Linked DNA regions of Ovis aries. The protein of the gene in region 2 purifies or fractionates together with the protein of the main gene of each other region. This does not show direct contact. Links are inferred from orthologs where the notes say so. Each region holds a gene or a part of one and is shown on either strand. Other genes may lie near its edges. The genes, in order: PFDN1 and VBP1.

Region 1 (3,915 bases), on a different chromosome or scaffold from region 2:
TTAGTAGGTGCAACATTTTACAGTAAATGTCTATATCAAATCTATTAAAATGAAGCCTGTTAAACAGACAAAGCCGTGAAATTTACCACAGCAAACATCTCAAAGCCAGTCTGCTAAAAACTTGAGCCCTGAACAATTCAGTGATTAGAAGCACTGACCCTCTGTGCAGTTGAAAATCCAAGTATAATTTATAGTTGACTCTCCATATAGCAGTTCCTTTGTATCCCTGGTTCTACATTTGTTGATTCAACCAACTACATATCATGTAGTACTCTAGTATTTACTATTTTAAAAATCTGTGTACAACTGGATCCCTGACGTTTAAACCAATGCTGTTCAAGAGTCAACTGTACTGAACTTACCCAGTCCTCAGAAGATGCAACCTATCTGAAGAAGCTGAACAAAGGCACGGTAAATAACAACCATATCAAGTAGCAGGTACCCAAGGATTAATAAAAGCTCTAAAGGCAACAATCACAAACCCAGAGACCCAAATCAGGAACCATTAATGTAACAACTCACCACATCTGTACTACTCAAGATTATTTAAAGCACTTTCCCACACTTGTTTGAAATATTAACATGTGAATATTAATATGAGAATACTGACATATAATAAATGTCTCATTTTCTCTTTTCAATAATCCTGAGTTAAGGATGGCAGATTCATCAGCACAGTTTACAAATTAACTAAATGTTTTAAAGAGATATAAATGACTTTCACAGGGCTGAGCAACTACTAGGTCAAAAACCAAGTACTTAATTAACTTCTGACCGCTAGTTACTGAATCTTTCTACTCTACTATCCACAGTAATATTCAGAAAATGAATATTTTAAGAGAAAGACACACAAAAAAATTCAAAGCATTGATAAAAGAATTGCATCATGATCTTCATATGCACACGATAAGCCAAACTTGACCTCTGAGTACTGTTAAAAGGTTTTTGATACTTCTGAAGTGCCTAGAATGATTTTCACATGCTGTCAAATTCTGACTTAATAATAACATCTGTGGCTGCAATACATGGCAAAAAGCTACTAACTTTTATTCTGACTTTGTTCTCACCTACTAGTAAGGTTTCAAAAGGTTTATCTAGAGGGGAGAGGAGGTACCTAAAGTTTCCTATTAGTCTCCATCCCTTCCCCTCCCCCCAAAATTATAAACATTAAAAGACCTTTAAACAAGTTTCTTCTGTAATTTTATTGGTTGACAAAACTACCCAATTTAAGTCTGTAATTATCTTCTTAGTTTGCATTCACTGTCCACAGGTTTCCCAGCAACAGACTGAAATAATACTGAGGGGTAAGTCCATTCATAGCTGTATTCTATTGTTAGCTCTCACTAAACCCTAACTTAAATTTGAACTTTTAACGGAAAAAAAAGGTAAACTTTTAAAACACTTTAAGACACAGTTTGGTAAGGAAGCTAGTATTTTGTTAAAGCTGAGATAATACAGCACTAGACAGCACCATAAGGAGTAAAGGTACAAGTTCCAAACAAAAGGCAATACACACACACAAATCCTCAGAGCAATAATACACTGCTTCATCTATTACGTGGAAGAGCTACTTCAACTGTCTTATTTCTCATGCAAAGATAGATTACAAGACAGTCTTAAACAAAATTTGCTCTTCTAACCTCAAGTAGTGGTCAAAAGGTGGAAAGTGAGGCAGAGAATGCAATATTCTAGAACCAAGCTTGGGCTGACTCTTCTGTTAAACTGTTTCCTTTTCTAGAAAAGTATCAGTTTAAAGTAGATGAAGTCTAGGCTCCTTTCCAATCCCCATTCTCCTTCTCTTCGCAAAAAAAAAAAAAAAAAAAAGGATACGCTTTTGAGTCGGTAGTGGTGTTAGAATCCTGACAACTCTCAGGTGGTGAAAACATTTCTGTGTAACAACACATTTCTAGGCAATTGTTTGAAGAGAGAAACTCAATTCCTTCTGATACCAATTTGATCTGGAAACCTTTGACTTGTTTCTTCTTTGACAAATCTTTAAAAACGAGGGTGGGGAGGGGGCGGTTGTTGGCAAAGCCCTAAGATGAACATTGCTACGAGGATACCTGACTGAACTGTATGAAGCGACCTTACAAGATATGGGATTAAAGAACTGACCTAAAAACAGACTGGACTTGGAGTTTTTCAAAGCAAATTAGTATACAGAATTACAGATGCTACAGCTCGGGCAAGCAGGCTAAGAGGCTCCAACTGGAAGCGCTCATTTCAGGCCTCACTATGGAACTGAAGGCACCAAGAGCAACGAAAGGTCTCTGGAGCTCGGAACAAGGGAACAAAACAGCTATAGGCCCGCCAAACTTAACCAGGCCCAGCCCAACCGGCTCTTACCCGGCAAAGAGCCGCTCGCCCTCGACTCCCGCCTAAGGAGGCCCGGTCCCGCCTTTGCACTCTGAGAAACCACTCCCCATTTCCCTGGGGCCTCTTTCCTTCCGCAGCACTCGAGACTCACTCGACATTATTGTCCACAGTCGCCTTAGCTTCCAAAGAAAAGCTTCTGCCTGCTCAAGACCCTCTTTTACCTTCTTCAACTCCAGATCCACGGGGGCCGCCATCTTGCTTCACTACTGCGCCTGCGCAGTGGGAGAAGCCCGGAAAGAGCGTGGGGGAAGGGCGCGCCCTGAAGATTTGATAGGGCCTCTTCCTTCTGCGCCTGCGCATGAGTGGGGCTGCTTGGTTTTCCTACCTTCCCCGTCGTTATTAACGCCTGAAATAACCGGGATTCCGATTCAGAGTACGTCTTCCCCACGTGACCTATGGGCCTGCCGTGATTCTCCACATCCTTCCAAACACGGCACAATCTGCAGATTTCGTGTGTGTGTTTTTTTAATATAAATTTATTTATTTTAATTGGAGACTAATTACAATATTGTATTGGTTTTGCCATACATCAACATGAATCCGCCACGGGTGTACACGTGTTCCCCATCCTGAACCCCCCTCCCGCCTCCGTCCCCTCGTGTGTGGTTTTAACCACTTCGACAAATAGTTTAGTTTGTGTCGCTAAATTAAGATGTATGTAGATCAAGCTAAAACCTTTAAAGTCATTCATGCCTTCAGCGAGTCCTGTGCTGTCAGGGAGGGATGAGAAAGAATCAGCCTGAGTTTCAGACATGGCAGCATGGAGAAGACCAGAAGGCTTCAGTTCAGTTCAGTCGCTCAGCCGTGTCCAGAAGGCTTAGTTGAAGCGTTTTCCCAAAGAACTTATTTATACTGAATGTTCTCAGAAGACCTTGTAGACACAGGAGTTCTCACGAGAAACCAAATTTCTTTTTAAAAGAAAAAAAAAATGCAGATTCTCTGATCCTCATCCCAAACTTACTTAGAATCTTTGATATGGGGCACAGAAATACATACTTTTGCAAACTCCTTTTATGATCTGATCTAAGTGGACTGCAAACCACATTTTGAAAATCTGCTGTAAAATAGCTGGCATTTGAACCAGAAGGATGACTAGAAGGATGGACATGAAAGAAATGGATATCTTCCTTACTCTAAAAACCTGTGAGGCAGGGGAAAGGGCAGGGAGTTTGGAACTAAACAAATCTGTATTCAAGGTTTGGTCTACACTGAGCGTAGGTATGTCTGCTTCCATTTACTAGTTGTGTATCAACAGAGTCTGTCTCCTCATTTAATATGAGAATAACAGTACTGACCTAACAGAGTTATTCTGAGGAGTAAACAAGATCAGGATGGAAAGCTCCAAGCATAGCACAATGCACACAGTAGGCACACAATAAAAAGGTATAATTAAGTTCATGTAGTTAGCATTGTTATATTTGTCTTTCAAGATACAGCAAGCAGCAGACACATAATATGTATCCATTATGTATTTTTTTTATTTTTTACATCACACAGACCATAAATAATCTCTCCTTGGAATTTCAAGACTACTTCTGT
Region 2 (3,915 bases):
TAGAAGGATTGTTATAGGAAAAGAAATGTTTCTGGCACATGTTATTAGAAGCTTAGACACGAGCAAGGAGAAGGAACTACAGCAGCAAAAGTCTGTGGTTAAGACCCAGGAGCTGCATGGCTTGAATGCTGGCTGCATCACGTACTAGCTGTGTGGACCGTGAGGCAGTTGTTTAATTCTTGTCTTGGCCTCAATTTCCTCATCTGTAAAAGAAAAAAGTGCCTCTTCCCTACAGGGGATTAAATGAGTTACCACATGTCAAAGACTCAGAAGAGGACACAGAAGCTAGTAAGTGTTCAACAAACATTAGATATGGCTAAGGGAACAGATGGAAGCACCAAGAATTCTACCCCAGGGTGGTGGTCAGAAAAAACTACAGAGATCATATCTGAACTAGATGTTGAGAGATGGTGCAGCCAAACAATGGACAAGGGGGGAAAAGATCAATTAAAGCAGAGAAAGAAAAAAATTACTGTACCAACTGGAATGGGGAAAAGGCAATCTGACTTCTAACCACTATGGTACATTGCCTTATTACCGAAATGAATATGTATTAAGTATCTACTTGCAATACTGAAAGCACATTCTCTGTTTCTCAGAAGAAATCTGTAAGTAATGTTATCCTTATTTCAGTTAAGAAACAGAGGGGCTCAAAGTTGTAAAACAATATGCTCAAGATAAGCAGCAACTGGGAAGCAGAGGCAGGATTCAAACTCTAGTCTCGAAACCAATGTTCTTTCTAAAATACCATGCTATTTCCCATTAGTTGGGGAACATTAAAATATTTATATAAATGTGGATTGTTTATATAATGTATTGATGGAAATTTTAAAGATCTAGAAAAAGCAACTCATAACATTTTAGAGAAAATGCATTTTAAGATAACACTTTATATAGCCCCTTGATAAACTTCATCTTCCTGAATTAGATTTCTGAAGCCATCATTTGTTAAGCACCATGAATGCAGGATTTTAAGGCATTATGGAAATTCAATCTGACATTTAGTTATGAGTTTATACTGTGTGTCAGGCACTGTGCTAGGATCGGGGGCAAGATAATGACCTCACTTTCCTCCCAGCAGCAGAGCATGGCATGGAAGTAGAGGTCTGGAGCCCACAGACTGACCAAGTTTAAAGCTTGGATAACTCACTCACACATTGTGTGACTTGGGGCAAATTACTCAAGGGCTCTGGGGCTCAGTCTGAACATGTACAAAATGAGAATAACAGTATTTGCCTCTTACTGAGTTGTGTAAAAGCATTAGAATGTGCCTGGTACTCAACAAATTTTGTCTCTTGTTGATGATTAAGTGGGAGATGAGTGGAAGGAAATACATGGCACACTTCAAGGACAAAAATAAAATAAAATAGGACAAAACTGAGTCAGCCAATGCAAATATTCATACAGTGCATATAAAAGTGGTCTAAATAAAAGACAAGGGTCTTCTGAACGGTGGACGATTTCATCAACAAAAAGCCAATCCAGGTTCGATGCATAAGACAGGGTGCTCAGGGCTGGTGCACTGGGACGACCCTGAGAGATGGGATGGGGAGGGAGGTGGGAGGGTGATTCACGATGGGAAACATATGTACACCACTGGCTGATTCATGTCAATGTATGGCAAAAACCAGTACAATATTGTAAAGTAATTAGCCTCCAATTAAAATAAATAAATTCTTTTTAAAGGCAGAGATTAAGACAATATCGGGACAAAGCAAAAGGTGGAGAAATTTCCATTAAGGTTTCATAGTAGTTCAGCCAGAACTGAGTGGAGAAAGATGGGTGATACTGGCCTGGAACACCCATCAGGTTTTCTCAACACTCAACTAGTTCTCAAACACTATTTCGAGTACAGCCTTATGGAGAGACAGGATTGAAAGCCTCTACGTGCTTCTCTGTTTGGCCTTGGTTTAGTCTCCCCGTTCAATGAACCCTCCAATACTGCACTGCCGGCTTCCTCTGTGAACTGCACCCTATGGACTCTCTACGTTGTTAGAACCGTGTACCTCAAAGTGATTACAAGTGGCTTCACTAGAAGGAAATGGCAACCCACTCCAGTATTCCTGCCTGGAAAATCCCATGGACTGAGGAGCCTGGTAGGCTACAGTCCATGGGGTCACAGAGTTGGACACGACTCTGCAATTTCACTGTCTAATGAGCGCCCGCAGCCAGCGGGCTAAGGCCTCCATGGCCTAGCGGGTTTCACATGGCCTTCGAGAGCTTTCCCGGCCGACGCCCCCATCATGGGGTCTTCTTCGGAAGCCACAGGCCGCCGCAGCCCTTCTACACCCGAGATGTCATTTCCGAGCTTCACACCTGAGCCCCAGCTCCGTTACCCCGTCCCCCTCGGTCTCCCCAGAATCCAGGCTGAGGGTCCAGCTTCTCACCGCCTCCCGTCTTCTCGGAAGCGGGGTCGGAACCGCAGGCCACGGAGGGCGGGGGAAGGCGGTCCCTCAAAGCGGCCCGCCTCCGCCCCCAAGTCCTCCGGCCCCGCGCCCGCTTAGCGCCTGTGACCTGCTCGGACGGCAGGCCCCCTCCCAGGCAGGTCCCGCCCCAGTTTAGTCCGTCCAGGCCGGAGCGCCCCCTCCCAGGTAATTGGGCCCAACGCCTCTCTCCCCAACAACCAAGTCCCCGGTGAGGGGCCAGGAAGAAAGGGTACAACAGCGTAGCATCAAACACCCGCTGGCCACTCACCACAAAAACCGCTTCAGGAATCCCCAGGTGGAGTCGCCTCCCGTTCCCCGCAGCCACTTCTCCTACACCACAACCGTCCTTAGAGGCCGCCATTTTGGAGAAGCGAGCGCGCGACTAACGTGCCTCGCGAGCGGCCTGTAGCCGGGGGCCTGTGATTGGCTCGGGTCACAGTCGCGGGCCCGCCCCCCCGCCTGGGAGTCTGTGCGTTCGTTGGCTTACAGGAAATACCCCCCGCCCCGTCCCCCGCTCGGCAGAGTCGCTCGATCTGTGGGCTCTAATTGGCTGCGCGGGTGAGTGACAGGAGTGGAAGGGCCGCGGAGGCGAGGCTGGCTCTGCGGGAAGGACCAATACCGAGTCCTGGGAAAAGGGATTCCGGGGGTTTTGTGGGTGGGGCGGCGGGCTGGAGGATGCGGACAATCCCGGAAGAAGCCGGAATAGACTCCACTGCCAGCCCGGAACAGGCCTCTCCAGAAGAACCATCGGAGCTACCCGATCCCTTCTCGAATTCAAGCAGACTCGAGACCTAGACGCCACCACGGGACTTGGGCCTCGGTGACATTCTGGGCCCACGATCCTCGCGAGCTTTTTGGCTCCTGAAGGGTGCTTGTTTTGAGCCTGCTTCCGAGGGGACCTAGTGGCCTGATTCTAATAAATACCCCGCCCGTTGCATCACAATTTACCGAAAGCACCTCTGATCAGACTCTCACCACCAGCTCAAACGTTTTCAAAACTTCACACTGTCCATATTAATACAAAATCCTAAGAACTTTCCCGATGTTTCTAGACCCAAGGAATCCCCAAGCTCATTCACCACTACCCCCCTGTTTTCTGACATCGGAGCACCATGTTGGTTCCTGCCTCGGGCTTCCCTGGTGGCTCAGTGGGTAAAGAATCCACCTGCCAATGCAGGAGATGCAGGAAACACAGGTTCAATCCCTGGGTCAGGAAGATCCCCTGGGGAAGGAAAGGACAACCCACTCCAGTATGCTTGCCTGGGAAATCCCATGGACAGAGGAGCCTGGTGGGCTACAGTCCATGGGGTCACAGAGTCAGACGTGACTTAGTGACCAAACCACAACTAAGAAACACGGACGTCTCTATCTTGCCTGCACAGGGTAGGAAAGGAGCACAGGTGAAGACACTACCTGAGTTATTTAAAAATTAAAATGCAATGGGTACCAACAAGGCTGTCGTAAAGATTAAATGAGATTATGTATATAG

The links.
Region 1: the proteins of VBP1 (region 2) and PFDN1 purify together in Homo sapiens (affinity purification with mass spectrometry; 4 studies listed by BioGRID and IntAct, counting the BioPlex papers as one, with this or other methods). This does not show direct contact. The link is inferred for Ovis aries from reciprocal best matches to the Homo sapiens genes VBP1 and PFDN1.

What each region holds. Positions count from the first base shown.
Region 1 is NC_056058.1:49,170,512-49,174,426, forward strand, and holds the start of PFDN1 (prefoldin subunit 1), read right to left. Parts: upstream 2,587-3,915; 5' UTR 2,571-2,586; coding exon 2,538-2,570; intron 1-2,537. UniProt on the Homo sapiens protein: Binds specifically to cytosolic chaperonin (c-CPN) and transfers target proteins to it. Binds to nascent polypeptide chain and promotes folding in an environment in which there are many competing pathways for nonnative proteins.
Region 2 is NC_056080.1:81,701,891-81,705,805, reverse strand, and holds the start of VBP1 (prefoldin subunit 3), read right to left. Parts: upstream 2,811-3,915; 5' UTR 2,788-2,810; coding exon 2,695-2,787; intron 1-2,694. UniProt on the Homo sapiens protein: Binds specifically to cytosolic chaperonin (c-CPN) and transfers target proteins to it. Binds to nascent polypeptide chain and promotes folding in an environment in which there are many competing pathways for nonnative proteins.